4 linked regions of the Diceros bicornis minor genome follow. The main gene of each other region encodes a partner of the protein of the gene in region 4 in a complex. Links are inferred from orthologs where the notes say so. Each region holds a gene or a part of one and is shown on either strand. Other genes may lie near its edges. The genes, in order: NUP188, NUP85, NUP214 and NUP107.

Region 1 (7,693 bases), on a different chromosome or scaffold from region 4:
AAATCATTATATGCAGAAGTCTCAAGAGAAGGCAAAATGAAGGAGAAGATTGTAGTTTACCAGGAAGGGAATCCTTGTGGCAATGAGTGTTACTTGTTCCTCAATTCCTACACATTTATGGTCTAGGAATAATAGGAATACAAACAAATCTAAGACCATCACAATGCTCATAAGCTTACTGTTGCGAATGACAAAGGATGTTAAACACACATTACACAATCAGCAAAAAAGTATAAAGTAATAAACGGCGTGATCCTAACAATTACACACCACAAAGGAATATAACCACACGGGGCAGAAAAGAGTCAGAGAAGAGAGAGCTCACTGGGAACCAATGCAGGGATCAATGAAAACTTCACCTCAAATTGGGACCTGAAGGTTTGAGCAGGTGATTCTCAAGATACAACAGACATAGATGGAACTGTGCTTTCCAATCCAAAGCCTCAGGGTAACATCTTCTACACGTATTTTCAAGAAACAAACTAACTGCTACAGTATCGCTCATTTATTTGCACAATAAATAAATCTGAGCTAAGTATTTCCAGGAGAAACTAAGGCACAGAAACTAAATAACTCGCCTCAAAAGTAAAGTTAAAAAACTTATTGAGGGGCTGGTCCAGTGGCCCAAGCGGTTGGGTGTGCGCGCTGCGCTGCAGCGGCCCAGGGTGCGCGGGTTTGGATTCCAGGCGTGCATTGACGCACCGCTTGTCAAGCCATGCTGTGGCGGCGTCCCATATAAAGTGGAGGAAGATGGAGACGGATGCTAGCCCAGGGCCGGTCTTCCTCAGCAAAAAGAGGAGGATTGGCAGATGTTAGCACAGGGCTGATCTTCCTCACACACACACACACACACACACACACACAAAATTACTGACTTCCAGTCCAATGCTCTAGCAGACAACATGGAACTCCATTCCTAAAAGAGCTGGAGTTAACAGAAACTGGAAGCTATCTTCCTTAGAGAGATCCATGGGGTTGGAAACCTTTGGGGGAAAGCTTCTAGGTTAGGAATAAGTCTCTACAACTGAGTCGTTTTGGTAAGAAGGCTGAGACACAGCCAACCTACTCTGAGATAGTTCTTGTGAGAAACATGGTGATATTCCCCATGGAGATGATAAATAAAAGTGCCCACTGCCCACGGATCCCCTGACTCCAAGGATGAAGTATGACTCTCTTGCATGAATTGAGATTTAAGCTTAGCAGTAACCTTTTCAAACCACAGTTGTCTTTTTAACACACGTACACCACTCAGACTTCTACAAACACACTAACTGAAGAACACACACTAAGAGACATCCAAAAATGTCAATATTCAAACTGACTTTCTGCAAAACCCTGACTTTCCCAAAACCCTGAGTGATTTAAGGATATTACTCTATTTTTCACAATGATTTCCCTACATGCTTCAGAACCACCTCACCGTTACTCTGAAATACTTGGAGAAACAGGCTCAAACGGTAAGCTGGCCTGTCTGCGGTCATCTGCAAATCAGCAGGCAGCAGGAACAGAATTTCAGTTTTCTCCTAGTCCAGACCTCCAAGCATTTCAAACAGAAGGCTGCTGCTCAGTATAACCCCAGTCGTTGTAAGGAGCCTTCCAGCACAAAAAGAAAGTGCATTCTCCTAACAGGGGCTAGGAGCAAAGCAGTCAGGCATGAGTTTGGTAGGTTCCCCGGGATGATCAAAGCATCTTTCAGGCAAACCAATGCCTTCCTTCCCTTGTTCTCTTTCATCAAAGAACGCGCCTTACCCTGCAAGAGCTAAACTTGACCCAAACTCCCCAACGACTAAGAACTAAGCCTAAGAAAAGGAGGGCACAGTGACCACAATGCTGCCCAACATGAGAGCTGACATGAAACAGCAGAGGCGGAAAAAGCAGACTGGTCCTCACAAGGTGCAGAAGCAGTTCAATGGAAATTCCGGAGAAGAAAACCTCGAGCTGAGAGGTGAAGGAAGTGCCATCAGATAAAACGAGCAACATTCATAACAAATATTTTCTGGCAGCCTATTACGCGCTCTTCTGGGGGCTGCGGATACAGCGGCGAAACAGACGAAGCGGGGCAACACCGCGGGCCCAGGGAGCACTAAGCGACAGGAACGTTTAGCTCATTTCAGGAGGGAGGGCGGCAGGGAGAAGGGCGACGCTTCACGCCGTAACTTGGAAGACGGAGGTGCGGGGATCGGGTTAAAGCCTCGGACCCGGGCTTGGACGCTCGCTTGACCGCTCAGCCAGTTCTGAGCCGGACCCGCGAGCCATCGGTGAAGCCCAAGGTGCCCACGGAGTCGGGAGAGTTCCAGGGACATGCGCGGGGGCCGGCGCTCGGAAGCGCCCTGGAAGTAACAACTGTCTCTTTCTGCTTCTACTTCACCCCCTGTCCCCAAGCCCAGGACGGCGCCGGGGCCTCCCCGAGAACGCGGGCAGGTTGGCGGACGGAACCGACGCACGAGGAGAGGAACAGACGGATGAATGGAAGGCCGCGCGAGGACGGAGAGCAGAACTGCCCGGAGGGGCTCGGCGACTCCGAGCACGAGCACATGGGGACCCGGGGAGCGCCGCCGGGCAGCGCAGGAGGCGGCGGCGGGCCGGGGCGGGGGCTCCCCGCGACCGCGAAGTGCCCCGGGGCGCCTCGAGGGAGCGTCACACCGGACGAGGAAGCGCGGGGGGGCGCCGAGGGACGCGCCGGCGGGGACAGGGGAGGAGAGAAAGGGCCCGAGCGAGGAGACAGGAGGCCGGCGCCGAGCGAAGGGGTGAGGCACCGGCCCGCCTCTCGGAGAAGTCACCTCAGATCCCCGCGCGCCGGGACAGTTTGGACGTAACCGCCTCCCGTCTCGGCGCCCGTCCGCCTAGCCGGGCTTCGCCCGCCGCCGCCACCACATCTCGCCCCAACTCCCGCCCCGCTTCCGCTCGGCTAGGACTCGGCGCCTCACACCCACCCCCGCCAACTCGGCCCGCTCCGCACCTCACACACGGCCCGCCGGCGGCCGCCGCCATCTTCGCGCGCCCGCGCGCCCCAGCCCCGCCCCCAGACGCCGCGCCCACGTGACCTACCCACCCCCCCCCCCGGCTGGCGCGTGGACGGGGCCTTACATCACGTGATGGCATGGTGGGGCGGGGCCAAGATGGCGCTGCCCTGAGAGGTGAGGAATCTGCGGCGAGGGCGGCCGAGGCTGTGAGGAAGGCGGCCGAATGGCGACGTCTGCGACGTAGATGAGAGGCGGTGAGGGGTGACCGGGCGCCAGCACCCGGGCCGCAGAGAGTGGCCTACAGTGGAGCTTTCCTCCTCGCAGCTGGAGAACGGAGAGAGAAGGTGCTGGCTGGGTGAAGCTGCCGCTTTCTGCCTGGCGGGGCTTGAGGGGCCCAGAGTCCACGGAGTCCCTAATCACCCTGGTTTCCCCGGGGTCCCAGGTCTAGAGACATGACCCGAGATTGCGCTCCCCCGGCCCCGGGAACCGGGGCTCCGCTGAGCGGGTCGGTGCTGGCAGAGGCGGCAGTGGTGTTCGCAGTGGTGCTGAGCATCCACGCGGCCGTGTGGGACCGATACTCGTGGTGCGCCGTAGCCCTCGCAGTGCAGGCCTTCTACGTCCAGTACAAGTGGGACCGGCTGCTACAGCAGGGGAGCGCTGTCTTCCAGTTCCGAACGTCCGCAAACAGTGGCCTACTGCCCACCTCAGTGGTCATGCCTTTGCTCGGACTGGTCATGAAGGAGCGCTGCCAGTCTGCGGGGAACCCATACTTCGAACGCTTTGGAATTGTGGTGGCAGCCACTGGCATGGCAGTGGCCCTCTTCTCATCAGTGTTGGCGCTGGGCATCACTCGCCCGGTGCCCACCAACACTTGTGTCATCTCGGGCTTGGCTGGAGGTGTCATCATATATATCATGAAGCACTCACTGAGTGTGGGAGAGGTGATCGAGGTCTTGGAGGTCCTGCTAATCTTCGTCTATCTCAACATGATCCTGCTGTACCTGTTGCCCCGCTGCTTCACCCCTGGGGAGGCACTGCTGGTACTGGGTGGCATCAGCTTCATGCTCAACCAGCTCATCAAGCGCTCCCTGACTGTGGTGGAAAGCCAGGGGGACCCAGTGGACTTTTTCCTGCTAGTGGTGGTAGTGGGAATGGTGCTCATGGGCATCTTCTTCAGCACCCTCTTTGTCTTCATGGACTCAGGTACCTGGGCCTCCTCCATATTTTTCCACCTCATGACCTGTGTGCTGGGTCTGGGTGTGGTCCTGCCCTGGCTGCACCGGCTCATCCGCAGGAACCCCTTGCTCTGGCTTCTTCAATTCCTCCTCCAGACAAACACCCGCATCTACCTCTTAGCCTACTGGACTCTGCTGGCCACCTTGGCCTGCCTGGTGGTGCTGTACCAGAATGCCAAGCGCTCATCTTCTGAGTCCAAAAAGCACCAGGCCCCCACCATTGCCCGAAAGTATTTCCACTTCATTGTAGTGGCCACCTACGTCCCAGGTATCATCTTTGACCGGACGCTGCTCTACGTGGCCGCCACCGTATGTCTGGCAGTCTTCATCTTCCTGGAGTATGTACGCTACTTCCGCATCAAGCCCCTGGGCCACACTCTGCGGAGCCTCCTGTCCCTCTTCCTGGATGAACGAGACAGTGGACCGCTCATCCTGACACACATCTACCTGCTCCTTGGCGTGTCTCTTCCCGTTTGGCTAGTCCCCAGACCCTGCACACAGAAGGGTAGTCTAGGAGGAGCAAGGGCCCTAGTCCCCTATGCAGGCGTCCTGGCCGTGGGTGTGGGTGACACGGTGGCCTCCATCTTCGGCAGTGCTATGGGGGAGATCCGCTGGCCTGGAACCAAAAAGACCTTTGAGGGGACCATGACGTCTATATTTGCCCAGATCATTTCTGTAGCTCTGATCTTAATCTTTGACAGTGGAGTAGACCTGAACTACAGTTATGCTTGGATTTTGGGGTCCATCAGCATCGTGTCCCTCCTCGAAGCATACACTACACAGATAGACAATCTCCTTTTGCCTCTCTACCTCCTGATATTGCTGATGGCCTAGCTGCTGTGCAGCAGTGATGGAGGAAACAGGGCCAAGGGGAGGATGAATGGTCCCCACAGCAGCCAGACAGTTGGGCATGAAGAGCCAAGGAGTGAGAAGCAGATTTGATTTTTCAGTTGATTCAGATTCAAAATAAAAATCCAAGATCACCGGGTTTTCGTTTCGCTAATATTTAAAAAGCAATGGGGCCGGCCCCGTGACGTAGCGGATAAGTGTGCGCGCTCCGCTACTGGCGGCCTGGGTTCAGATCCTGGGCGCGTCCCAACACACTGCTTGTCCGGCCATGCTGTGGTGGCATCCCACATACAGCAACTAGAAGGATGTGCGACTATGACATACAACTATCTACTGGGGCTTTGGGGAGAAAAAGGGGAAAAAGGGGAGGATTGGCAATAGATGTTAGCTCAGAGCCGGTCTTCCTCAGCAAAAAGAGGAGGATTGGCATGGATGTTAGCTCAGGGCTGATCTTCCTCACAAAAAAATTAAAAATAAAAAGCAAAAAGGCTTAATTAAAGAATATTGCAACAAATCAAAGAACTTGAGTGTGCTGTAGCCCCCCGTCCCCTGCCTTGCAGTCTTCAGAGGAGGCCGGAGTGGACACTGGAGGCAGGAGAGCGTAATGGTTAACACTGCAGGTTCTGCTGTCAAGGTAATCTGGTCAGAATCCTTGGCTGCACCACTTCTTCAACTGTGTGAGTTGCTTAACCACTCTGGGGCTTAGTTCTGTCTGCAAGATGAGAATAATAAGAGCCGGCACCTCACATGGTGGTGTGAGGATCCAGTGAGGTGAGGTGTATGACATGTCCAGCCCAGTGATTGCACATCGTGAGCAATCAGTAAGGGAAAGTGTTATGATTACTCAAGGCCAGTCCTCATCTCAGCAAAAAGCCAGGCAAGCTAGAGAGTTTCTGGGGTGTCCTCGGAGACAGAGGAACCTTACTCCCCTGGCTTCACTTGCAGGAGAACCCAAGAGGAAAAGAGCCAAGTGCATGTGGTTTCTCCCATTTGGACTAGGAAGAGCTGAAGGGGAGAGGTGGGATCAGCTTGTTGCGTGTGTGGAAGGGCTGAAGGAAGAGGATCAGTCTCTGGGCTGACTTCCTGTTTCAGTCAACCCCACCCCTGCCTCAGTGTCTCTGCTGCCTGGCTGAGTGGTGCTGATGAAAGACCGGCTGGACAGCACAGGATCCTTGTCAAGGGGTCCCTCCTGAGACCCTCTCACACTCCAGTCTTGTCCAAACCTGTGTTTGTCTCTTCTCTTGTCAAGAAATTAGAGCTTAGGGAGCTGACAGAGTTTACTGAGAGGTCAGAATAGCTCTACTTGGGGGGCCATGCTCTAGCCTTGCTCTCTGTGAGGACAGAGTCTGGGTCTGCCTGGTTCACCACCGCATCCCCTGGTGCCAGCAGAGCCTGGCATGTAGCAGGAACTCAGTAGACGTTTCCTGAATGGATGAACCTTTCCCATCAGTGGGAAAATAGCAGAGCAGGTTTCCTGAGGCTGGACGAAGTTATGCCCCCTTCTTACCCAGCGTGGCAGGGAGGGGCGTAGCAGGAAGAGGTGAGAACTTTGGCCCGCCAAGGCCAGAAGCCAGGAGCGGAGCTTTCGGGAGCTCTTGCTTCTGCCGGGGGATGACTGCCAAGCCCTTTCCTGGAGAGGACATTCCTTTGGGGCTCAGAGGGGACTTAAGAAACCCTTCCCTCTCTCAGGCTGCCGTCTACGGCTTGCCTAGGAGGCAGCAAAACGCTGGAGGAGGGCACAGTTTTGCCTCACTGACTCCCTGGGCAGCCCTGGGAAAGGCCTCTGTCCTCTGGGCCTTGGTTTGTCCACGTAGACGGTGGGGGCTGGAAATCAAGGTCACAAACTTACATGGCTGCTGAGGCCAGGCAGGTAATGCCACAAAGGAGGACAGGGGAAGTGGGAAGCAGAGAGGACGCGTGCCACTAAGGGGACACCTCCAGCCAGTCGTCACCATGCTAGACCACAGGCCCAGTGTGGTTGACCTGCCCAGTCAAGGAAGCTTACAGACCTGGATTGTTATGTGACATCTCCCAAATTTAAAAAGTTTTCATAAAAATGTTGAGGCCCAGACAAAACACATCTGTGGTCTGAAATCAGCCAGTGGCGCCCAGTTTGCAACCTCCAGGCCAGGCTCCAGCTAAGCAGGTTTTCAATTTGGTGGTCATTCCCGCAGAAGGTCTGGGTGCCTGCCAAGCATGCCCAAGCAAGAGGCCCTCGTCTGGCCCCGATTGTGCAAGTTGCATAACAGACCCAGAGAGAGGAAGGGCCTGGCCTGAGGCCAGAAAGCAAGTTGGTCACAGAGCCAGGACCAGATATGGGACTCTGGATTCCCAGTCCCGGTCTTTCTCCTCCGCAAGCAAGGAGGCCCAGGAGTGGAGAGGTTAGAAGCACAGGCCCTGGATCCGGCTGCCCTTGCTGAACAACTGCACAGCTGTGTGACTGGGGCTCCCCGTGCCTCAGCTTCTTCACCTGTAAATGTGGATGGTGAGAGCCCAGACCTGGAAGGAGTGAGGACTCAGTGAGACGAGGCACGTGGAGCTCTCGGCATGGTGAGCACCCACGAAATGTTACTTACTGGTATAAAAATCAGGCAACCCTCCCCAGGCTGGGCTGGGGGACCTGGGGTGATTTTCAGCAGGGCTCTC
Region 2 (7,185 bases), on a different chromosome or scaffold from region 4:
ATCTGCCAATCCTCTTTTTTTTTGTTGTTGAGGAAAGACTGGCTCTAGGCTAACATCCGTGCCCATCTTCCTCCACTTTATATGGGATGCTGCCACAGCACGGCTTGCCAAGCGGTGTGTCGGTGTGCGCCCGGGATCCGAACCGGTGAACCCCAGGCCACCGCAGCACAGAGCGTGCACTTAACCTCTTGCGCCACCGGGCCGGCCCCCTTAAATTGAAAATTATGTAGTAAACACGCTAAAAGATAACTTTTGTCTGATTATTAGAGTAATAATACTCATTCCTGCCAGCCTTTCTTTCTACATATTAATAGATACATTTTTTACAAAATTGAGAAAATTTTTAACAAAATTTTACTGAACTTTGTAAAATTTTGCTACAATTACCTTTTAATGATTGTGTAGCATTTCCTAGCTGTGAGACATTTATTTCCTTTTTTTTTTGGTGATTATTCAAAGTGTCCTTCTTGGTTATTCCCTGGAAGTGCAATTATGGAGACAAAAAGGTGAACATTTTAAAACTTCTTTAAGGGGTCAGCCCAGTGGCGTAAAGGTTAAGTTCGCATGCTCTGCTTTGGCGGCCCGGGGTTTGCAGCTTTGGATCTTGGGCGTGGACCTACGTGCCACTTATCAAGCCATACCGTGGCGGCATCCCATATACAAAGTAGAGGAAGATGGGCACAGATGTTAGCTCAGTGACAATCTTCTTCAGCAAAAAGAGGAGGATTGGCAACACACGTCAGCTCAGGGCTAATCTTCCTCACCAAAAAAATAAATAAATAAATAAAATAAAACTTCTTTAAAGATTTTTCCATGTTCTTATCAGTCTTCAGAGTTCTAAATAGGTGAATAATATCTCATTGATACATTTACTTAGCTGTTCCTCTATTCCACTCTGGTTGAGCATCTATGCCAGTAGCTCTCAACAGAGGTGATTTTGCCCCCTAGGGGACACTGGGAATATCTAGGGACATTTTTGGTGGTCACAATTGTTGAGGGGTATTAATGACATCTAATGGATAGAGGCCAGGGATTCTGATAAACGTACTGCAATGCAAAAGACAGCTCTCATAACAGAATTATTTGGCCCCAAATGTCAATAGTGTGGAGGTTGAGAAAATTTGTTGTTGTTATATATAGCACGTACCAAAATTCATATATCTTTTATATTTTGAAATTATTTGAAATAAATTTTCAAGAGAGGATTTACTGGGTCAAACTATATAAATATTTGTATGGCTCTTGATAATAGATTTCTACCTTGTTTTCCAAGACAATGATGTCTCTTGAAAATGATTATGTATTTATTTCTCTGCAGGGTAGGGAGCATTAGTTTTACTGGGATGCATTAAATGCATCCACTCAGCACTTTACATAGGCCACATCTCTAGCACAGTTCCTCTGGCTTGATCTGAGAATGATTTTAAGTTTGACTTTGGAGTGACTTAAAGTGATTTTTTTTTTTTTAAGATTTTATTTATTTATTTTTTCCCCCCAAAGCCCCAGTAGATAGTTGTATGTCATAGCTGCACATCCTTCCAGTTGCTGTTTGTGGGACGCGGCCTCAGCGTGGCCAGAGAAGCAGTGCGTCGGTCCGCGCCTGGGATCCGAACCCGGGCTGCCACCAGCGGAGCGTGCGCACTTAACCGCTACGCCACAGGGCCGACCCCGAGTGATTTCTGGTTTGACTCTTGTACAATAGGTATGTTTTTTTTTAATTAATTAATTAATTAATTATTTTTTGTGAGGAAGATCAGCCCTGAGCTAACATCCGTGCTAATCCTCCTCTTTTTGCTGAGGAAGACCGTCTCTGAGCTAACATCTATTGCCAATCCTCCTCCTTTTTTTCCCCAAAACCCCAGTAGCTAGTTGTACGTCATAGTTGCACATCCTTCTAGTTGCTGTATGTGGGACGTGGCCTCAGCATGGCCGGAGAAGCCGGTGCCTCGGTGCCTTGGTGCGCGCCCAGGATCCGAACCCGGGTCGCCAGTAGCAGAGCGCGTGCACTTAACCGCTAAGCCACAGGGCCAGCCCGGTATGTTTTGTTTTAGATTTTTATTTGATTCCAGAAATATTTTACTCTTTTTGTCTTCTTAGGGTTCTGATATACCTCAAGTGAAGTGTCTCCTGCATAACTGAAGACTGGCCAGAGTAGATACAGGAATTCCAGAGTTAAACCAACCAATCTAGGGAGAGGAGGGGGAAGAGAGAGGAGAGGAGATTGTGTAGCACAGGGAAGAGAAAAAGATTTGTATGCTGATTATTTAACTTGTTTTTCCAAATGTATTCCTTTAAGATTATCTGTTTAAAAAAAAAGGATAAACTACTTCATTGAAACCCCATTCTTGGAAGTCTATTTGAGAAGGACTAGAAGGAAGAAAAAGGTCTATATATAGAATAATAATAGCTCTATTAGCTGTAGTTTTTCTTTTTTCCCTCTATTAATGAATATATTCAAATGATTGTGTAAAGTTGCTGGTATATCATGGTCTTAGACCAAGAATATTTTCAACACTTTTTTCCAATATTATCTAGCTCTAGGTCAGACAATTTCAATACTTCTATTATCTTCAAATGGCAATGTCAGTCATAAAATATCAAGAAACTATAGTACTAAAATTTTCCAAGCTCTTTTGTCATTCAAATTATTTTTTCTCAGGTCTCCTTTTGAGAAAGGTGGTTTTTCTTTTTGGTCTTTCATCCTGTTATTTTTTTCCTTTCCTTCTATTCATCCTGTTCCCCAGAATAATTTTCTCTGAAGGAAATTAGGCATGATTTCTATCAATGTCTATTAAGCTTGGCTTTCACTTCTGCTGCTCAAAGAATTCTGAATAGCCAGAGCAGATATAATAAACAGTTTTTAAAAACTGATTTATCTGCTACTGAATGTTTATTTTACTTTTGGAAAACGTTAGCCCTCTTTTTACCCCCTAGAAAATGGACATGAATGCATAATTTCTCATACTTCATAGCCACTCCACTGGTATCAGAAACAGCGAAACTTTTGGAAAATGCAGCAAGACATAGATGGTGGAACAGTATGGAGTTTTGTGCAAAACTACACTAAATTTCATACTATGGATGGCGTCTTCAGAGATAAGGATTTGGATAAAACTGTAATAGCCACAGAATTTTCCTTCCTTTACCTCACAAGAACAAACTACTGAGGTGACAGGATTTTCTCAACTACTCCAAGTCATCTTATTTCTACCAATTCAAATAGATCGTTCAGAATCGTCTCAAAGAAAGAAGGGTTTCCCCAGGTAAAATACTGAAAATTTGTCGTTTTCAGGTCAAATTTCTTTCCTAAATAAAAGCAGCTGCTATATTTTCAGGAACTGTTTCCTAAGACTTATTTTTTTTTTCTGAAGACAAATCTGAAAATTTTTTTTTCAAGTTTGTTTTTATTTTTTTAAATTTTTTGTTTATTGCCGTAACATTGGTTTATAACATTGTAAAAATTTCAGGTGTACATCACCTAAGACTTATTTTTAAATTTCGAATTATCTTCAGTTCGTTCAAAAGGTGCTTATTTGGGAATTTAGAACCAGTACTGTTCTCTTCCTTGTATGTGCATGTATTTGTAAATATGGCATTAACAAAATAAGTAACTGCTTTAAGTTATTGGAGCACTTTTGAGTTTTCCATAACAAGGTCTGGGATTCCCTGATTTGAGTTTTTTTTTTTTTTCTGTTTTTCTTTAGTGAGACAACAAACCAATATTTGCGTTTAATTAAGCAAGCCCAGCTGTCTCAGTTTCAGTTGGTTAAGCCTCATCAATTTTGTCCGCGTGCCTCTTGAGCGTTTTGGGGTAGGCGTGGCGGCGACTGCCTTCCTACAGAAGCCCGATGGACAGACGCAGCTCGGGAAGAGGTTCGCTTGCCCTGGACAAAGCTCTGACAAGCGGCCGCGACGACGCTAACCAGCAGACCAAAACGAGCAAAGAAACCCAGCACCAGGACACTCGTCGGACTCACTCACGCCTGGAAGCTCCGCTCTCTCCCAAGAACGGCCGCCCAGCCCGCGCACGCGCAGCCGCTCCCGCCGTCCCCGGGGCGGGGTGGGGGTGGGGGTCTTCTCCCGGCCCCGCGAGGGGCTGTCCGCGGCGGCGCCTGATCTGGCGGGAGAGGTACTGTGAGGACAGGCTGCCCTGGCGCAGTTTTCCCTGACGTGTTGTCGAGGCCAGGAAGGAGGCACACGTGTAGAGTGCCTCAGAGGGGTAGCCATGGCCGAGAGGAGAGACCCCTGCAGCGTCGGGGGTTCGGGCCCGCAGGCAGTGCAGGAGGCGCTCAAGCGGGGGTCCTCCCTCGGGCGAGCTCTGAGCGGGAGGCCAGAGCCAGGAGCATTGGCGAACCTGCGAATTCCAGGTGGTTGAGGCGCGGCGCTATGGAGGAGCTCGATGGCGAGCCGACAGTCACTGTAAGGGCGTCTGGAACAGTCTTGCTTGCGCTCGCGGTGCGAGGATTGAGTCTGCTCCGTCCCTGCCGGCTTATCTACCTCCCTGCCGCTCGAGAGGCGCCCCGTCCCCTTCCCTCAGCTTAATTGCCGCTGTCCGGGGGTCATATTAACTAGGTGCCTGTGTTTGGGTCACAGTGATCGCTGGGTTTCTGCTCCTTTGTATACTCAGAATACCTGGCCCCGGAGCCCCCACCTCATCCCTCTCCTTTCCTTGTCTGTCTTCCCTACCTTCCTCCTTCCCTCGCTTTTCCTCTTGGGCTAATGCTCTAATGAATGGGCTCGGACCAAGCAGAGGAATCCGGGCTTTTTTCCTCCAGCCGAACTAAGCTTCACATCGCAGCGCCATTAGCTTGGCTTCTGCTTGTAGTGCCGTGCTGGCCCGAGGTTTATCTATCTCTCGGGAGTCTGTTCCTGTTTTTATTGCTCTGTTTGCTTTCAATTTTATTTGTACTCTGAAGAGAGTATGTCAAGTGTGAATGATCTATGATGTTTATAAAGAGATTCATGGCTTTTAGATACGAGATATCTACTGTTGCCCCTGTCTGGAATGCTCTTCTCTCTTAGGTTTATCTCTTGTTCACTTTTCAAATGCAAGCTCCAGCAGCCTCTTGCTCAGGAAAGCCTTCTCTGACCTCCCTGACTAGGTCACATATCTCCGTCTCCCCGTTATAGGCTGGTTCTGCACCTCCTAGCTCTTGGTAACCTATAAGCCCCACTAAACTGCAAGTTGCCTGACCTTGCGTTTTTGCTTTTTAGAAAGTTGAAATGCCTACAGTTTTCAACTAAAGGCATCACATTGCAAAGCAGTGTCTGACAAAACCGGAAATTGAAAAAAGGGTCATTTCAAAGCTAACTGGATGAAAGGAGACATAAGATCTTAAATAACAGTTAACATGGGTTGTTACTCTCTGTAAAGCTTACTGCTATAGAGTGTGTTAAATTTTAAAACATAAAGAAAGTACTTTAAGTATTAAATATCCATCAAGGACTATGTCAGTGTTTGCAGGAAGAAAAATTAGAATATCAGAATCACTGGAACTTTTTCAAACTACATGTCATCTTGCCTTTCCCTCCTCCTCTTACATCATAATCTGGTTGGGGAAACCTTCCCAGTACGCTGTGCAACACTGGAGAGCCACTACTTTGATAATGAGCCATGCATTTACAAGTGGAATGAAGATAATCTAAGCTTATTTTTATCCCCAGTAGTGATGATTGATTTGTGGTAACCCAGCTCTACGCTGGTATTGGGGAGACCAGGTAGGAAACTGGTTGGTCTTGTGGGTACAGCCTCACAGAGGGGTATTATCTTGGTAGAACTCCATAGTCTCGAGTCTGAACCTCAGCTCTGCAAGGTCAAACTCGGTCATGTCTGTATTTGAGAGTTAGTCTGCTCTTTGGACTAGAGTCTGCTCTACACACTCGCAAGAGACTGATGTATAATCCTACCATTAAGTCACCTTTTGTAGTGGTTGTGTCTGTTCTTCATGCAACTGCTTCCTATTATCAAGGCACATGAAGGCTAGTTAGTAATTAGCAGATTCAAGGATGTTTTAAGTATAGATTCAGAGTAGAGAGTAGAATAATCTAAAGTAGTTTTTCTAGACCTTATCCTTTTGGTTCAAAGACTCAAGAAATGTAAGCTGCAGTTTTTGTTGCCTTTTTTTGTGTGTTTGTTTCTGGATAACTACCTAGAAATGGAATTGCTGGGTTATAGGACAGGTGCATATTTAGCTAAAATAAACTATCAGTTCTCCAAAGTGGTTATATCATTTTTTTTTGCACCAGCAAAGTGTGAGAGTTCTAGTTCCACATCTTTGTCAACTCTTTGTATGGTCAGTCTTTTTAATTTTAGCCATTGCCGTTCTAGTGGGTATATAGTGGTAGCTCATTATTATTTCCATTTGTGTTTCCCTAGTGATGAAAGATATTGAGCATCTTTTTATGTGTTTACATGTCATTTGTATATCTTCTTTGGTGAAGTGTCTGTTAAAATCTTTTGCCCATTTTGTTATTGGCTTTCCTTTTTTTTTTTTTTTTTTTTGATGAGGAAGATTGTCCCTGAGCTAACACCTGTGCCAGTCTTCCCCTATTTTGTATATGGGATGCTGCCACAGCATGGTTTGATGAGCGATGCGTAGGTCTCTGCCGGGGATCCAAACCAGTGAACCCTGGGCCGACAGAGCGGAGTGTGCAAACTTAACCGCTGTGCCACTGGGCTGGCCCCTGTTACTGGGTTTCTTTTTTTTTTTTTTTTTTTTTTGTGAGGAGATCAGCCCTGAGCTAACATCCGCCAATCCTCCTCTTTTTTTCGCTGAGGAAGACGGCCCTGGGCTAACGTCGCTGCCTATCTTCCTCCACTTTATATGGGACGCCACCACAGCATGGCTTACCAAGCAGTGCGTCGGTGCGCGCCCGGCATCCGAACCAGCGAACCCCGGGCCGCCGCAGCGGAGCGCGCGCACTTAACCGCTTGCGCCACCGGGCCGGCCCCTGTTACTGGGTTTCTTAACGAATTGTAAGAGTTCTTTATATATTCTGGCATCAAGTATGTGTTTTGCAGATATTTTCTCCCAGTTTGTGGCTTGCTTTTTCATTCTCTTAACAATATCTTTACAGAGCAAAAGTTTTTAATTTTGATGAAGTCCAGTTTATAAATTTTTCTTCTATAATTTGTGCTTTTGGTGTCCTATTTTTGCTGACTTTACAGTCAGAAAGATTTTCTTC
Region 3 (7,442 bases), on a different chromosome or scaffold from region 4:
TGTGGCTGCTGCCCTTGTTGAAAACAGTGTCCTGTACCCATATTTTTGCAACAATGGTCTAAAGAGTACACATTCCCATTTGTTTGGATGGGACTGTTGTGTTAATTAAAAAGCCATGCAACAAAATCCTTCTCCTAGAGAGCCAGAACCCAACTTCAACTGAGCGAAAACAAAAGCATGGCAGAATGGTAAATTCTTCTTCCCCCTGAGCTCAGAGGAACAACTCATTGAAAGAGAAATACAAAGGACCAAAGAGAACACCCTGAAAGGCTTCCAGCATCCTACCTGGAACTTATTCTCCTTGGGGGTCAACCTTAGGACTAACAGCAGTTTTAATTTTAATACTGGAATGATTTTCTTGGGAAGGAAACTACATTCACACTTCACCACACTCCTCTCTCTACTACCGACACAAAGCAAGTAACTTACCTATCTTATTGGGATCGTCTCCAGGTTTATTTTGAATAAGGAGATTTTTAGTAGGAAAAATCTGCAACCCACTGGCTCCACCAGCAAAGACCAGACCGTATTTGTTGGACACAGCAAGCAGACTTGAGCGTTCTTTGGGCAACTCCTCAGGGGAATCAAAGATTCTCACCTTCTTCAGTGCTCTAAACTGAAAATCCTGTTGTGAGAGATCAAAACAAGACCAATTTAGGGAAAACAGGAAATTAAATGTCTGTCATTATATTCCAGTAGACCCAATTCCAGTACAACAAAAAGATATACTACCCTGAGGCCAAAGACTGTGTGGCTCAATCATTTTTAAGTTTCCTATGCATAGTGTGGTGCCTGGCACACTGCTTGTTAGTATTTATTGAATGAAATAAAACTTTCAAAATTCTTTCATGAAGCCTTCCTTGACTAATCCAGCTCACACTGATCTTTTCTGAATTCCTAGTTAACTTATTGTCCTAAACCACCACACAAGCTGCACTTTATTATTTATAATCTTGTCCTATTTCATGGTATGCATTGCTCAGGACCCAGAGTAATGCTTAACAAACTGTTGTTAAATACTGAAAGCATTCTCCAACTCTGCTGTAAGCTGGAACTTCCAGTGCAGCCCTCAATAAATATATATATGGAAATAATGACCACAGAAAGAACCAGATCCCAAGAATGGGCTTACCTGCACCAAATGATAAAAAAATCCATCACAGAAAAGGATATGTATGGTCAATGTCTTGGTGTTCAAGTCCTATAAACATACCTAGATGCTAAAAGACATCTAAACACAAGTCCAAGACCCTTCAGGCAGGCTATAAGGCCAGGAAGGGGCTGACCCATCCACCTACAGAGCCTCACCTCACAACACCGCTTCCCTCCCACAAGTGTGCCATCACCTCTGCCACACCCACTGTCACACCTCCAACCCCCACCCACTATCAGTTTTCATTTCCTTCCATTTTCAAGGGCCTCAGGGCCTGGGAGCCTTCCCCGATCTGTCAATGCCTGACTCACCTAGTCTTCCATGAACTTACCTATATGCTTTCAAAGACAATTTTCAGTGTGTACCACCTCCCGGTAACAGAGTTCCCTAGGTTTACCAATCACTATGTTAAGTTGTACTATATACAGTTTTTTTCCTTCAATTCCAAACCTATCTTCAAGTCAAAGTTTTGGTGAAAAAAATGTGAATCCCCTTTTGCTTACATTCCAAAACTGTAAAAGCCAAAGAGAGTTTTTCTCAGCCTCCATTTTTGTACTTATGGCGCTTCATACAGGACCCCTAACATACCCCACATACTAATTTCCTTGGATTCGATGTTGAATACATATTTGCTAAAAGATTAAAGGAAATACCCTTCTTAACTCCACCTGAGTACGGTGATCAGAAATTCACACCACTTTCCAGGTGAGACCATACTGTGGTTTCATACAGTAGAATAAAATTTTCAGTCTTTGTCATTCTCATCCTGATCATCCCAAATTTCCTATTTGGGTCATAGTCACACGGGCATAGGGAGCCAGTGGGACGAAGAGGTACAGCAGAGCTCTCCTTTCTGTTATAATCAGTAACTCAAAGGCAGACTATCATCCTCAAAGGCTGTGGTTTTAAAACCTTTTTTTCCTTCCACCTCGGCATCTCTGAGGAAAACGCCACACTCTCACTGGGTGGCTCACCCACAGTGATTCTCAAGAACGAAGAGAGAAGCACTACTCTAAATACGGTATGGATTACCACCCAAAACACATTTCAGTGATTTCTTGTTCAAACGCCTAAAATCTTCCTGCAATTCACTCCCTTTCAGGTGTTTATAACCATCATTTGGATCACCTGACCCTCTTTTTTGGCTGATTCCCAGCACCAGAACAGTCCTCCTATTCCACTTAACCAAAGGTTTTGTAGGACAGGTGACGAACCCCAGCTCTGTGTTAGGCAAGCCTGGCCCACCTTACAGAGGTGGTACCGTGCGAGTGAAGAAGAGAGGCTCTTAAACAAGACATCCCTGGATTTCAGCCGCCTTGTCAAATGTGACTTTGAGTAAGCTGCTTTCCGAGCCCCATTTGCTCCTCTACATTAACGACTACTTCGCGGCGTTGCTGTGATGATCACCACACGGTAATCACAGTGCCTGGCACACAGTAATCGCTCAACACACGGTAGTTATCGCCACGCCTCCGACCACCACGTGACAGGAGCCAGGGTAACTCGAGTGGCGCGCACAAGAGCAGCAAGGGGCGGGGAAACTGCGTTCGGGGGGGCTTCCACGCCGGCGGCGGGGCAGAGTGCTCCGGGGCGCGCCGGTGACAACTCGGAACGCGGCAACTGTTCAAGCCGGAGGCGGGGCAGAACCCGCGCTTCGCCGTTCAGCGCGGCTCCAAGGCAACGCCGCGACTAAGCAAGGGAGGGAGGCCCCGGCCAGTCTCTGACCTTCATCTCCCGCTCGGGGATCATGGCATCCATCTCGTCTCCCATCGTGCCGCCCTCAGCTGGTCGAAGCAGCCGCCGCTGCCGCCCGCGGCCTTGCCCACACAGCCCAGACCGCCCCGAGGCCAACTTCCTTTCCTCGGCGTTAGCGGCGCGCAGCGAACGCCACATTTCCGGCGCGCTGTGCTGACGTCACGCGCTTCCGTCCGCCGCGTGGTGGAGGGAGGCTGGGGGCCCGTCTGAAGTCGCGCGCAATCCTGGCCGCCGCCTCCCATTGGCCGGCTCGGCCGAGTAGGGCCCGTGGCCCCAGGGCCCATGCTCGCGCCCGGGAGAGTCCACGTGCCGCCCCCGCGTTCGCGCTCAGCGCGGGCTCGCCTCGAGTTGGTTTCATTCATTGGGCAGCGGGCGCCCGCGCGAGCGCTCCGTTTGTTCGCTGGAGACTTCACAGTAACCCCGGGGTGTAGGTGGTTAATAGTTCCCGCTACTTCACAGATATTTCCAGGGGCGGCTCTTGAGAGAGGTTTGGAGGGGGGTGTGGAGGAAAAGAGGTTCAGAAAGGTGGCGGGGTGGGACCTCTCCACGTGTCTAAGCACGAAGGCTGAAAGGGGAGGTTAAAAGGCACCAAAGGTCAGCCTTGTTTACTCCTTTCAAGGTTATCATTTACAGGGCAAGACCCTGGAAACCGCAGAACACTTCAGATGTGTTATGTAATCTTCAAGACATCCTAGTCACCTAGGGGCATCATTGCCGTTTAATTGATGAAGTAACTGGAAGCCCAGAGAAGTTAAGAAAATTCCCCAGTGCCCCTTAGTCAGAAAGTAGCAGAGGCAGCCTGAGAATTCAGCTTCTCTGGATCTGCTGGTTGATGACTATTAGACAGTCCTACGTAGAGGTTTTTGTAGTGGAATTATATTATAAATGCTCTAGGACAAAGATTCTTAACTTGGAGCCGGTGAGTCAGCTCCATGCTCTGCCACTTACTGTTTGGTTGTCAGCAAACTGCTCATCTGCTCCAAGCCTGCTTCTCATTTATAAAACAAGGATGACATAGTAGAACCTGGCTCATGGGGTTGTTGTGAGGAGTAAATGAAGCTCAGCATTTAAGAGAGCCTAGCACACAGGACACATTCATTCGGTCTGTTACTATATTACATAGCTTTTCTGAATTTGCTGAGCCCCAAACCATCCCCAAAATACACCAATGAAGACATTGATAAGTTTGTCTGTTTTATTTCCAGTCTGTAGACACGATATCCGGCACCATACACACTCACACACACACACATACCGCATCCACCTGAACTTGCCCGACACACTCCTTCCTTTTGAGTTGCAGGGACAAAGCCATACTTGGCAGCCCCCAAGTTGCTGGTTACATTAGTTAGATTTGGTCTTTCAGAAAGAAGACAGCTGAAGTTCTAAGAAGCTGAGCCCTTAGCCAGAGAACAGTCCTAGAGCCAATAGCCACAACCTGAAATACATGCAGACCCCCTTTCCAGGGACCGCTCTTGAGATTCACTCCCTCCAGGGGTTGAGTTCCGAGAAATGGTGAAGGGAACTGATAAGGTTTCCCAGGACACCCCCCATCCAATGAGAGAACTCTCTTTCCTGCCCTTTCCAGAAGCTGGGGACACACTCACTTGCTCTCCTCCCTTAAGGAGGCTTCCTGCAGTCTTGTAAAGTGTGGAACCTGCTGAAATAAGCCTGGTTGGTTCTGCCCTCCTCTCTGAGTGAGGAACAGTCCTAGACTATGATGGGTAGTCAAGGAAGGCTTTACCTTGCTCAAAGGTCTCTGAGAGGAGAGGCAGTGGGAAGGGGTGGGGACAGGCAGTTGCTCATGTAAGGATCTCAGGCGAAAAAACAAAAACCACCAAGGGAGGGCAGGAGGTGGGGTGAAATTTTACATTTAGAGGAAGGAATGTTTTGCTGGGGTTTAAACTTCAGCTGGGCCTGTGCATTTGAAGCAGCTCCTTAGGCTGAAGATCAGCCAGTCATGGCCAAATAATCTTGCTCCTGAACTGGTTTAGACCAGCAGATTAACCCAACCTGGCCATTTCCCCATCCCCTACCGGCTCCATACCCTCAAGCTGCTGTAAGGGCCGCTCCTTGGGCCCTTGATTATGGGTCACTAAGGAGCTGCAGGGAGCCCACACTAGCTCCAACCTCCAACAGTCCCCAGACCTTTCCACTTAAGGTTTTGCGAAGGCTTCTCCAAGACTCTTGCCCAGTCTGGGGCCTAGCTAGGTACCCCCAGGATTGCAGTGCAGTCACCTCATATCCCCCTCTTTCCTAACCTTCATCTCACTCATTATCGTCTGGGTGTGACTTCCCCACAAGACTCTAAATTCCAGGAGTCTATTTCCCTACTGGGTTCTTAGCTCTTGACCCATAGCAGGTGCTTAATAAATATGTTCAATGGATGAGTGCATCTCTGAGCCAGTAGGGTAAGGGGCTCCAGAACACAGGTGGGGTCAAGGCTGGGGTTCCTGCTCAGCCAAGATGGGGCCGAGAGTGACACCTTCCTGCATGAGTTCTGAGAAGCAGCTTGGCCGAGAAGCTCTAGGGAAGGCAGGACTGCAAAGGCAGGCCTGGTCCTTACCCAAACCCTGATGCTGACTCGGGGGCACCGGGAAGGGGGAGTCCTGGCCTGGGCCTTCCTCAAGTGTTGACCTAGGAGCATGCCCCTCCCTGCCCCTTCCCTTGTTTTCATCCCTGACTGAGACAGCCCAGGGCAGAGATGAAGCATGGGCAGGGCATCTGCACACGTGGGCTTCAGTCCAGACTCTTCCAGCTCCAGATTAACCCCTGACCTTGCGCAAGGCACTTAATCCCTGTGGACCACGACAGTTTTCTCGCCTGTGAAATGAGAGGACTGGCTCAGATAACTTACAGGGTGGATCCGGGCTCTGAAACCCTGTGAGTCCATAATAAAGGACACAGGTGACCCCAATCCAATCCCCAAGCTCAAGGTTTTAGGCAATTTGGAAACGGAGAGATGAGTAAGCGAGACAGTGGACACAGCACATGGCAGGACAAAGTAGGGGGACTTAAAGCTTATAATAGGTTGTCAATAAATATCTGTTGAATGACTGAGTGAATGAATGAATGAATGAATGGTGTGAGTAAGGTGGAAAGGCAAATGGGGGAAGTGCAGTCAGGTTTCAAGCAGATTTGAATGAGAAAGGCAACCTCCTATTTCTCAGCTCTTGGCTTAACAGTGGGGTTGACTCTTTTTGCCATGAGCATTTTAATCCTCATTCTCCTATGCTGATATCTCCTATCTCCCTATCTCCTATGCTGAGGATGCCCTCAGCATCCTCCCTAAAAGGTAGGACTATAAAAGGTAGGACTAGATGAGCTGACCCCCTCAAGGCCCCTGGCCTCCCCTCTACCTCCAAAGCCCTTTGCTGCCCCAGCAAGGGACGGCAGGCTGCACCCTCCCTCTGAGCTGCCTGTAAAGGTGTGGCCAGGGGGCAAGCCAGAGGATTCCTTCCTGAACCTTCTTGAAGGACTCAAGTTGCCAAGCCCCTCTCTTTGTCTCCTTATGTCACCTCACTGAGGATGAGAAGAAGTGTGGACTGAGGGGGGATCAGGTGGGGCAGTGGGACACTGAGTGGCCACGTCCTGGACAACACAAGAGCACTGGAACAACAAAGCTGTCCAAGGAAACCCTAAGGAGGCTACCCCAGGGTCTCCTATAAGTGGGCTGAGGTCCTCACCCAGGCCAGGGCAGCTAGCCTGGACTTAGCTCAGAGACGTCCTGGAAGGATGGACGGTGCCAGCTTCAAGCGTGGGGATCACAGGCTTCCAGTCTCCCTGTCCTAGCCCTGCCCCTCCGGTTTTTGGTTTGATGTCAAGCCCTTCTGCACAGGGAGAAGGGACGGATGGGAGAAGAGAGGGAGGGGACCCAAGACTCAGGATTCCCCACCCAGAGCCCCCTTAAGGCAGATAATTTGTGCTTTACAAAAAGATCACTGATTCTGCCAATGAAACAAACAAACAAACGCACAAGGACCAAACAAAACAAATAAGACAAATCACAATGAGTCGAGAGGGCAGCGAGATCAGGAGGAGGAACAGGGGCAGGGAGGGCGGGGCAGGTCCAGGCAGGGGTCCTCAGGGCAGGCTGGCAATGTCTCTCTCTGGAGGGGGGCCGACTGGCTTGGGGCTGCTCTCATTGGCTTTCCCTTCAAACATCATGACTCTGGTTTGGAGATGGAGAAAAAACAAAACAAAACAGGATTAAGACCCCTTCCCTCATCCAAGAAAAGATCATCCCAGCCCTCACATCAGCAGGGTTCTCAACAGAATGCCCTTGCATCCATCCTTAAGTGGAATCTTCTCGGAAGCCCATGAAGGCAGCAATGTGGAAGGGGCTGCTAGTCCCACTTTACAGAGGAGAAAACTGAGACGCAGAGTGGCAATGTGACTCCTCAGAGCCACACAGGCAGTCCAAGGCAGGAGGGGACTCCAGATCATTGACTTATAGGCCATGAGCCTTCTCCTAACCACGCTGCCTGGCCCATGGCTCTGCTCAAAACCCCTTCAGATCTTCAAAAACCTCCCA
Region 4 (7,524 bases):
TAACTTCTCTAAGTCTTACTTTCAGTTTTGGCAAAATAGAGATAATACCTATGTCATAGTTACCGTGCATTTGCGTAAGTACAGTGCCTGAAACATGGTTAAGAGTGCAACAAATAGTCACTACAATCATTGTTATTGTTCTTAATTATTGATACTGCAACCAAATGTTATATTTATTATGTGTATTATAAGAGTTAGCTGCTATTATTATTCTTATTAAATGCTTTAAAAGCAAAAAACCTTACAGGGTGGTCGAAATGAGCTGGGAGTTTGAGGGATACCCTGGTTTCTTGGTGTAGTATTGGCAAAAATTTCATCTTGGGATGCCCGAACTGTGGGAAGAGTTAAGAAAGTTTTCCATGCAGAAAAGACACCATTCAAGTTAGAACTAACCATATTTACACTATAAAAAATATGTGAATACATTTTTCAAAACCAAGGTATTTTATGGCTACCATTTTCTCTATGCCAAGAGTAAATAATTCCCTCTACGATTTAAATTCTCAGATATCAGTCTTTTTTGTGTGTGTGTGAGGAAGATCAGCTCTGAGCTAACATCCGATGCCAATCCTCCTCTTTTATTTTTTTGCTGAGGAAGGCTGGCCCTGAGCTAACATCTGTGCCCAGCTTCCTCCACTTTATATGGGATGCCACCACAGCATGGCCTGACAAGTGGTGCGTCGGTGTTCGCCTGGGATCCGAACCTGCGAACCCCAGGCCGCTGAAGCAGAGTGCGTGCACTTAAACCGCTTGCGCCACCAGGCCGGCCCCAGATATCAGTCTTAAGATTACTACACACTGAACTAAGAGTTCTCAGTCAGATTTCAAATAAAAAAAAGATGTCTAATCTCAGCAGAAGCTAACCACAATATGATAGCAGTAAAATGGAACATCTTTATTTTCAGGAAAACATAAATCTTAATTTCATTGAATTTCAGCATTATATTTGCCAAATAACATATCTGGAGAGTTGAAAAAACTAATTTCCACAGCATTTTATTATTATAGCTAGTGTTTAATACCTCTCACACACAAAAAATCTATAATCCTGATTCCAAACATGTTGCAGTTTTTTTAATAATGATGCTTAAAGCACAAAGGATACTTAGAACTCTTTTTTGAGCACTCTGTTTCCGTGCAGTCCGTGTCACCTCCGCCTCCCGGATCACAGGGGATGACATTTCTCCAAAGCCACTCCTAAAATGGCATAATCAAGCTCATGTAAATGAAATCAGAATGCAGCATTTGCAAAGAACTTTATCATCATGATTGGAGCAAAGAACCCTGAGTCAGTCAAGGTACAAATCATCCCAGGAGCCAAGTCTTTGATCATTTTGTTGACAATACCCTTCTGGCTCCAAATCCTGCTTCTCCCTCCAAGTCTCTCTCCAATTTTACCTGCACAAAGGCTTCTCTGACTTTCTGGCATTCACTGTGGTATTTTCTCCTTTGGAATTATTTCAACACTTGGAATCTATATTATAACACTGTTTTAGATAACCGCCTCACGAAGGTCAATCTTTCCTCTGATGGATTGAGGAGTTCCCTAAAATTTCAGGAACAATCTCTTAAAAGGATCTCCTATAGTCTCCAAGATACTTCAAACCATAGGTACTATGAAAAAATCTGTTGTTTGAGCTGGTGAGATGGGAAGATAGTAAAAAACCAATTCTAGTAAACTGGAGAGAAATGATCCTTCCAGTTATTTCTCCCCAGAGTACACTGAGGGTTCTCCTGTCTCAGCACTATTGTGGTCACAATGCTTCAGCCCTCCCCTGTCACTCTCAGACCAAGATCTACAAAATAAACTGTGTGAATTAGGAGACTTGTATTTTAAGTCAACAATCCAATATGCTTTTCCTCCACTTCAATCCTTCAGATAGCTACCTCTGGCCTACAGACTCAAGTCCACGGTTTTTACACCTGACCTCAAACTTATCAGTTCAGTCACAAACATCACCCCCATACAAACATATACAGCATGTGACTATTCAGCTACACAAAGCATGCAGTTTCATATTCTTACCTTTTCTTTTACCGGGGCCTATGTTTGCCCCCTTGGCCCACCTGGTGAACACTTGCTTACTCATCAAACAGCCTCCTGCAGTCTGCAGACACACAGCCAGGCTGGCAACTTGGTTCTTCTATTTACTAGCTTCCTAACCTTGACCCAGTTCCTTATCCTCTTTCAGCCCCAGTGTTACCTATGAGAAGAGGATCGTAGCACCCATCCTCATAGGACTGGTATGAAGATTCAATTAGCTAATACTACACGAAAAGGGTTTAAGACACTCGATGTCGGCTGCTATTATCATTCAAAGACCAACTAGAAAGTCGGCTCCTTTGGGAGGTCTTCCTGAAACCGCCCCCTCGTCTCCCCCCACAGCGCAGCAGGAAACACTTCTCACTTCGTGCTGCGCGGTAGTCTCCCGCACCACACAAGAACTCGCATAACTCATCTGCGTCGCAGGCGGCTAGCAGCGCCAGGGTCACAGAGAACTCAAGTCAGTGGCTGTCCGCTGCTGGAGCTGCGGTCAGCAAGCCTGGGCTGCGGTCCCCGTTCTCGCCGACTGGCCGGGACCTCGCAGGGCACGCAGCATCTCCTCCCACCCCGCCCCCCAGGAGCGGGAAACGGGAGAAAGAGCACAAGAGACGGCGGAGCCGCCGCGGGGACGCGGGGACTGTGGCCAGCCGTGTCCCCCCGACCCCGGCTGCAGTCTCCCCGCCGGGGAAGGAGGCCTGGGCAGCACCCGGCCCTCCCGGCTTCCTCTGCGCGTCGGGGGTCACCTATTTCGCTCTGCTGACAAGCAGGAGGGACAAGTCTCCCAGCTCAGCCGTCACCACCGCAACTGACCTGTCCATGGCTACAGCCTGCCCCACCGAGAGCCTTGCAGTCTCGGCTCCAGCTTAGCCACCGCGTTTCAGCCTTCCCGCTCTCCGGAAGCAAATCCTTCGACCCGGAAGTATGTCCTCGCTAAGCCGCCGTAGAGAAAAGACGTGGGGGGAGGGGGGACGGCGACCAACTTTCTCATCGAGCGCATGCGCACCTTCTTCCGCCTGCAGCCGCAGATCCGACCTGCGCAGGCGCGAAAGTGTGCTAGCGTGTGAAGACGATGCGGGGGGCCGGGCCGGGCCGGGCCGGGGCAGGGCCGGGCCAGTGACGCGCCGCCGCCACTGCCTGACTGACATGTGTGGGCGTGGCCCCGGCGCCGGGGTGTCCTATGGGAAACGGCGTCGGCTGACGGTCCAGGAAGACGTGCAGTCACTTCCGGGTGTTCTCTGTGAGAGGGGCCGGGGCCGGGGACAGGGGCTCTCGCTTGTGTGCGTCGTGTCTGTGGAGCTGTTACCGTGATGGCTCCTTGTCTTCACTGGGTGTCTTCCTCTTAAGGAGAAAGGGCTCCTCTTTAGCAAGGACGAGCTTTGGGGCAAAGCGTTGGCCAGCGTTAGTTCATGTGCAGCGCTTGTTGGAGAGGGGCCCGGGTCACGTCTACACAGTCAGCACACGCGCAGCGAATGTTTCAAAATGTAGTCATGTCAGCGCCTTAAAGCTCTATGGGACGAACTCCTGTGTGGTGCGCGTCGTGTACATCCCAGCCTCGTTGTAGGGCCCTGCGTTTCCTGACATGCACTGCGGCTACCTGGAGGAGGAGAGAATGTTCTAGAAGCCTGTCCGGCGCCCACGGAATGGTTCAGAAGCTGGAGGAGAGGCCAGGAAGCGGCGCCCGAGCGCCCCCCCACCCCCCCCCACCCCCACAGCGCCCCTGTAGCGCCCCGAGCCGGGCCGTGTGGAGAGAGCGCCCCCTCGCTCGCCCCCCTTCTCCTGCGCCCCCCCCGCCCCCACAGCAGAGGGGAGCAGACGTGACCTTGTCTTCCCCGACTGTTCGTTTTGAAAACTTGGAGACTACAGAAAGCTGTAGCGACAGCACGACAGGCGTCGATGCGCTCCTCCCTGGCCCCCCCCCCACTGCTAACATCGCCCCACGACTGTTCTCCCCTTTTTTGCCTGAGCCGTTTGCAAGTTAGTTGTAGCCGTCTTGACGCTTCACCCCAAAGCCTTCAGACTTCCCGAGTCAAGGACAAAACGTCGTGCCCCCAGTACGGTAAAACACGCGCCGGGAACGTCTCCCGCTGACGGAGTCCCGTCACCGACGTGTTCAGACCTGCCCCGTTGTCTGATAACGGCCCGTACGGAGCCCCCCTCCAGCGCGGGACCTGGCGGGGCGGGGTGCGTCGGTTGTCGCGTCTCCGTATTCTGCTCTCGTTTGGAACAGTCCCCTAGACTTTTCTTTTAAATCATTAATATTTCCAAGAGTTCAGGCCAATTTTTCCAGAATGTTCCTCAGTTTGGATTTGTCCGATGTGTTCTGAGGACAGGCACTTGATGAACGTTTGGAGGGACGCGGCGCGGGAGGCTGCCCAGGAGCTGCCCGGGTTTCACTGGATGCCCTGGAGGCACGTGAGGTCGGCGTGTCTGTTCCAGAAGCCCCCTAACCCTCCGTCCTCACAGGAAAGCGTCCTTTCCAGCTGTCTCTGCTCGGCGCTCTTCCCAGCCAAACCTGTGTTTTGGTAAACTGTGATGAGCTGTTTGCTGGTGTTCTTACCATAAATCCAATGGATGTGGCGATTACAGAACGGTAAGATAACAGACATAAGCAAATAGAGAAATTAAAGAATTCCCAGGCCGGCCTGCGGCTTAGCGGTTAAGTGCGTGCGCTCCGCTGCTGGCGGCCCGGGTTCGGATCCCAGACGCGCACCGACGCACCGCTTCTCCTGCGGTGCTGAGGCCACGTCCCACATACAGCAACTAGAGGGATGTGCAACTATGACGTACAGCTACTGGGGCTTTGGGGAGAAAAAAAGGAGGAGGATTGGCAATGGATGTTAGCTCAGAGCCGGTCTTCCTCAGCAAAAAGAAGAGGATTAGCATGGATGTTAGCTCAGGGCTGATCTTCCTCATAAAATAAATAAATAAATAAAATAAATACATTGTTAAAAAAGAAATTCCCATGATTCCATTATCTATATCTGACTACAGTCCCGTGAGAGACTCATCGGAACCACCTGGTGGGGTCCAGTGGACCCGCAGAGCCCAGCAAGTTGATGGTGTCTGACGCCACTCTGTCGGGGTGGCCTGCTGCGCCGCAATCCGTAGGGGAGCAAGTGGGGTCGTACTGTAAGAGTGTTATAGTCTGCTTTTTCACTTAACAGTGTGAGCGTCTTATCATATCAAATATCATTCATCTACATCGGGCTCAATTTAGGCAGACGTTGAAGGCGTAACCTTCCTTTTTGTCTCCGTTTACATTTACCGTGCAACCTAGTGCAGTCTGACCTCCGCCCTCGCTGCTGAGTGAAAACTGCTGGAAAAGGTCGCCAGTGATCCTCTGTCAGTGGAAGTTTGTTTTTCATTCCCCATCCTCTGTGGAACACTTGACACCCTAGACCGCTCTCCTCGCTGCCACCCTCCTGCCCCTCCCTGGCATGCCTTTACTCGGCTTCTGCTTCCTTCTGGCTTCTCTCCACTAGTCTCCTCCGTAGGCTCTTGAACTCTGCCCTTCCCTTAAACGTCAACTGATCTTCCCCAGAACTCTGCCCATCTACTTCCTACTAGATCCCAGCTTGGAGTTGTACCCCTGCCTTGCTTTTGTATTCCAGACTCACTGCACCCACTTGCTTCCTGGACGTGCCCACTCTTGAGGATACAGAGTATGTGAAATGTCACGTGTGCTAACTCTAAATTTGGACCCAGCAGGCCTACCCCTCCCTCACTTCCCACCGAAACAACCTCACAACTACAACCATACCTCTCCTCCTGTATTTGCCGTCTTAGCAAGTGGCGACATCCAGTTACCCAAGCCAAAAATCTGGAATCTACTCTCAATAGGACTGAAGTTTCACAAGGGTAGACGTCTTTATCTGTTTTGCTTGGGGTTGTATCCCTTTAAATATCGGTCTATCGGGCCGACCAGGTGGCGTGAGCGGTTAAGTGCGCACTCCGCTGCGGCGGCCTGTGGTTCACTAGTTCGGATCCCGGGCGTGCACCAACTCACTGCTTGGCAAGCCATGCTGTGGCGGCGTCCCATATAAAGTGGAGGAAGATGGGCATGGATGTTAGCCTAGGGCCAGTCTTCCTCAAACAAAACAAAACAAAACAAAAAATCAGGATTGGCAGATGTTAGCACAGGGCTGATCTCATAAATATCGGTCCATCAGTGATTCTCCTCTCATTCCCCACGTCTGCTTTGTTACCAAATCTTCAATCTGTCTTCCCATTTCCACTGCTACTTTCTTGTGCCTGACTCATCATCTCTTCACTGTAGCTCCTCCAACTGCACTTTTTTCTCCATATTGCTAAGAGAGTGTCTTCCAAAAATGCAAATCTGATCATGTCACTCACCTTTCAGTTTCCTCCTGATTTTAATTTTAACTCCAAACTACTTGACTCAGCCTTCAGCATCTCATTTGCCTGTCTGGCATCGTCTTGCCATTGTCTCTAGCTCAAATTCGATACTCCAGCTGTATTCAACTACAGTTCCCCAAACATTCTGTGGCCATTTGGCGGATGTTCCTCACTCCTACCAAACAGAGGCAGAGAGGGAATAAACCAATGCCCACATCATAGACTGCTATGCAGTCATTAAAAGGCTGTTTAGAGAGAGTTTGTAATAATTTGGAAATGTTTGTTTTGCTTTAAATGAGGGAAACAGGTTGTCATATAGTATGTAACGTTATGCTCAGAAACAATGTAAAAATGCATAAAGAAATACTGAAGCCCGGGGTGGGGTCATGGTGATAAAGGGATGAATAGGCAGATCACAGAGGTTTTCCAGGGCAGTAAAAACACTCAGTATGATACTATAATGGTGGATACATGTCATATATATTTGTCCAAACCCATAGAATGTACAACACCAAGAGTGAACCCTATGTAAACTATGGACTTTGGGTGATTGTGATGTGTTAATGTGGGTTCACTGATTATAACAAATGTTCCACCCTGGTGGGGGATGTGGATAAGGGGGGAGGCTATGATGTGTGGGGACGGGGGGTGGGTATATGGGAAATCTCTGTACCTTTCTCTCAATTTTGCTGTGAACCTAAAACTGCTCTAAAAAAATGAAGTCTTTTTAAAAAAAATCTGAATGAAGATCATACCAAATGTTGATTGTGGTTGTCTTTGGTGAAACTAGATGATTTTATTGTTTTATTTAAAGCAACTTATTTTCATAGCATGGTCCAATTGAAATTCAAAGGAATATTTTAATAAATTCATTAAGAATTCCAGTGAGTCAGATATGAATCTAGTGAATTAAGTTATGGTAGGTGCTTAATTCTTTTTTCCATGTCCAAAAGATAGAAGAATTTTGAATACAGTTGTAGGATACACTGCAGCTTATATAAAACAAAAGGAAGTACTTAGATTATTAGCAGTTTGTTCAGATATGAGATGGTCTTGGGTTTTTTAAGTTTTATTTTAATATTTGGGGAGTAGTTTTATTCTTCTGTCGGTTGTCATACTGTGGC

The links.
Region 1: NUP107 (region 4) and NUP188 share a complex: the UniProt entries of both Homo sapiens proteins name them as parts of the nuclear pore complex. The link is inferred for Diceros bicornis minor from reciprocal best matches to the Homo sapiens genes NUP107 and NUP188.
Region 2: NUP107 (region 4) and NUP85 share a complex: the UniProt entries of both Homo sapiens proteins name them as parts of the nuclear pore complex. The link is inferred for Diceros bicornis minor from reciprocal best matches to the Homo sapiens genes NUP107 and NUP85.
Region 3: NUP107 (region 4) and NUP214 share a complex: the UniProt entries of both Homo sapiens proteins name them as parts of the nuclear pore complex. The link is inferred for Diceros bicornis minor from reciprocal best matches to the Homo sapiens genes NUP107 and NUP214.

What each region holds. Positions count from the first base shown.
Region 1 is NC_080767.1:36,691,657-36,699,349, reverse strand, and holds the start of NUP188 (nucleoporin NUP188), read right to left. Parts: upstream 3,011-7,693; 5' UTR 2,992-3,010; coding exon 2,960-2,991; intron 1-2,959. Other genes in the region: DOLK (dolichol kinase), read left to right, coding at 3,416-5,032. UniProt on the Homo sapiens protein: Component of the nuclear pore complex (NPC), a complex required for the trafficking across the nuclear envelope. Required for proper protein transport into the nucleus.
Region 2 is NC_080757.1:55,717,508-55,724,692, forward strand, and holds the start of NUP85 (nuclear pore complex protein Nup85), read left to right. Parts: upstream 1-4,185; 5' UTR 4,186-4,386; coding exon 4,387-4,419; intron 4,420-7,185. UniProt on the Homo sapiens protein: Essential component of the nuclear pore complex (NPC) that seems to be required for NPC assembly and maintenance. As part of the NPC Nup107-160 subcomplex plays a role in RNA export and in tethering NUP96/Nup98 and NUP153 to the nucleus.
Region 3 is NC_080767.1:38,433,016-38,440,457, reverse strand, and holds the start of NUP214 (nuclear pore complex protein Nup214), read right to left. Parts: upstream 3,003-7,442; 5' UTR 2,924-3,002; coding exon 2,879-2,923; intron 626-2,878; coding exon 430-625; intron 1-429. Other genes in the region: AIF1L (allograft inflammatory factor 1-like), read right to left, coding at 6,992-7,079. UniProt on the Homo sapiens protein: Part of the nuclear pore complex. Has a critical role in nucleocytoplasmic transport.
Region 4 is NC_080756.1:2,509,788-2,517,311, forward strand, and holds the start of NUP107 (nuclear pore complex protein Nup107), read right to left. Parts: upstream 3,005-7,524; 5' UTR 2,863-3,004; coding exon 2,855-2,862; intron 2,205-2,854; exon of another isoform or gene 2,027-2,204; intron 1,547-2,026; exon of another isoform or gene 1,399-1,546; intron 1,198-1,398; coding exon 1,106-1,197; intron 333-1,105; coding exon 246-332; intron 1-245. UniProt on the Homo sapiens protein: Plays a role in the nuclear pore complex (NPC) assembly and/or maintenance. Required for the assembly of peripheral proteins into the NPC. May anchor NUP62 to the NPC. Involved in nephrogenesis.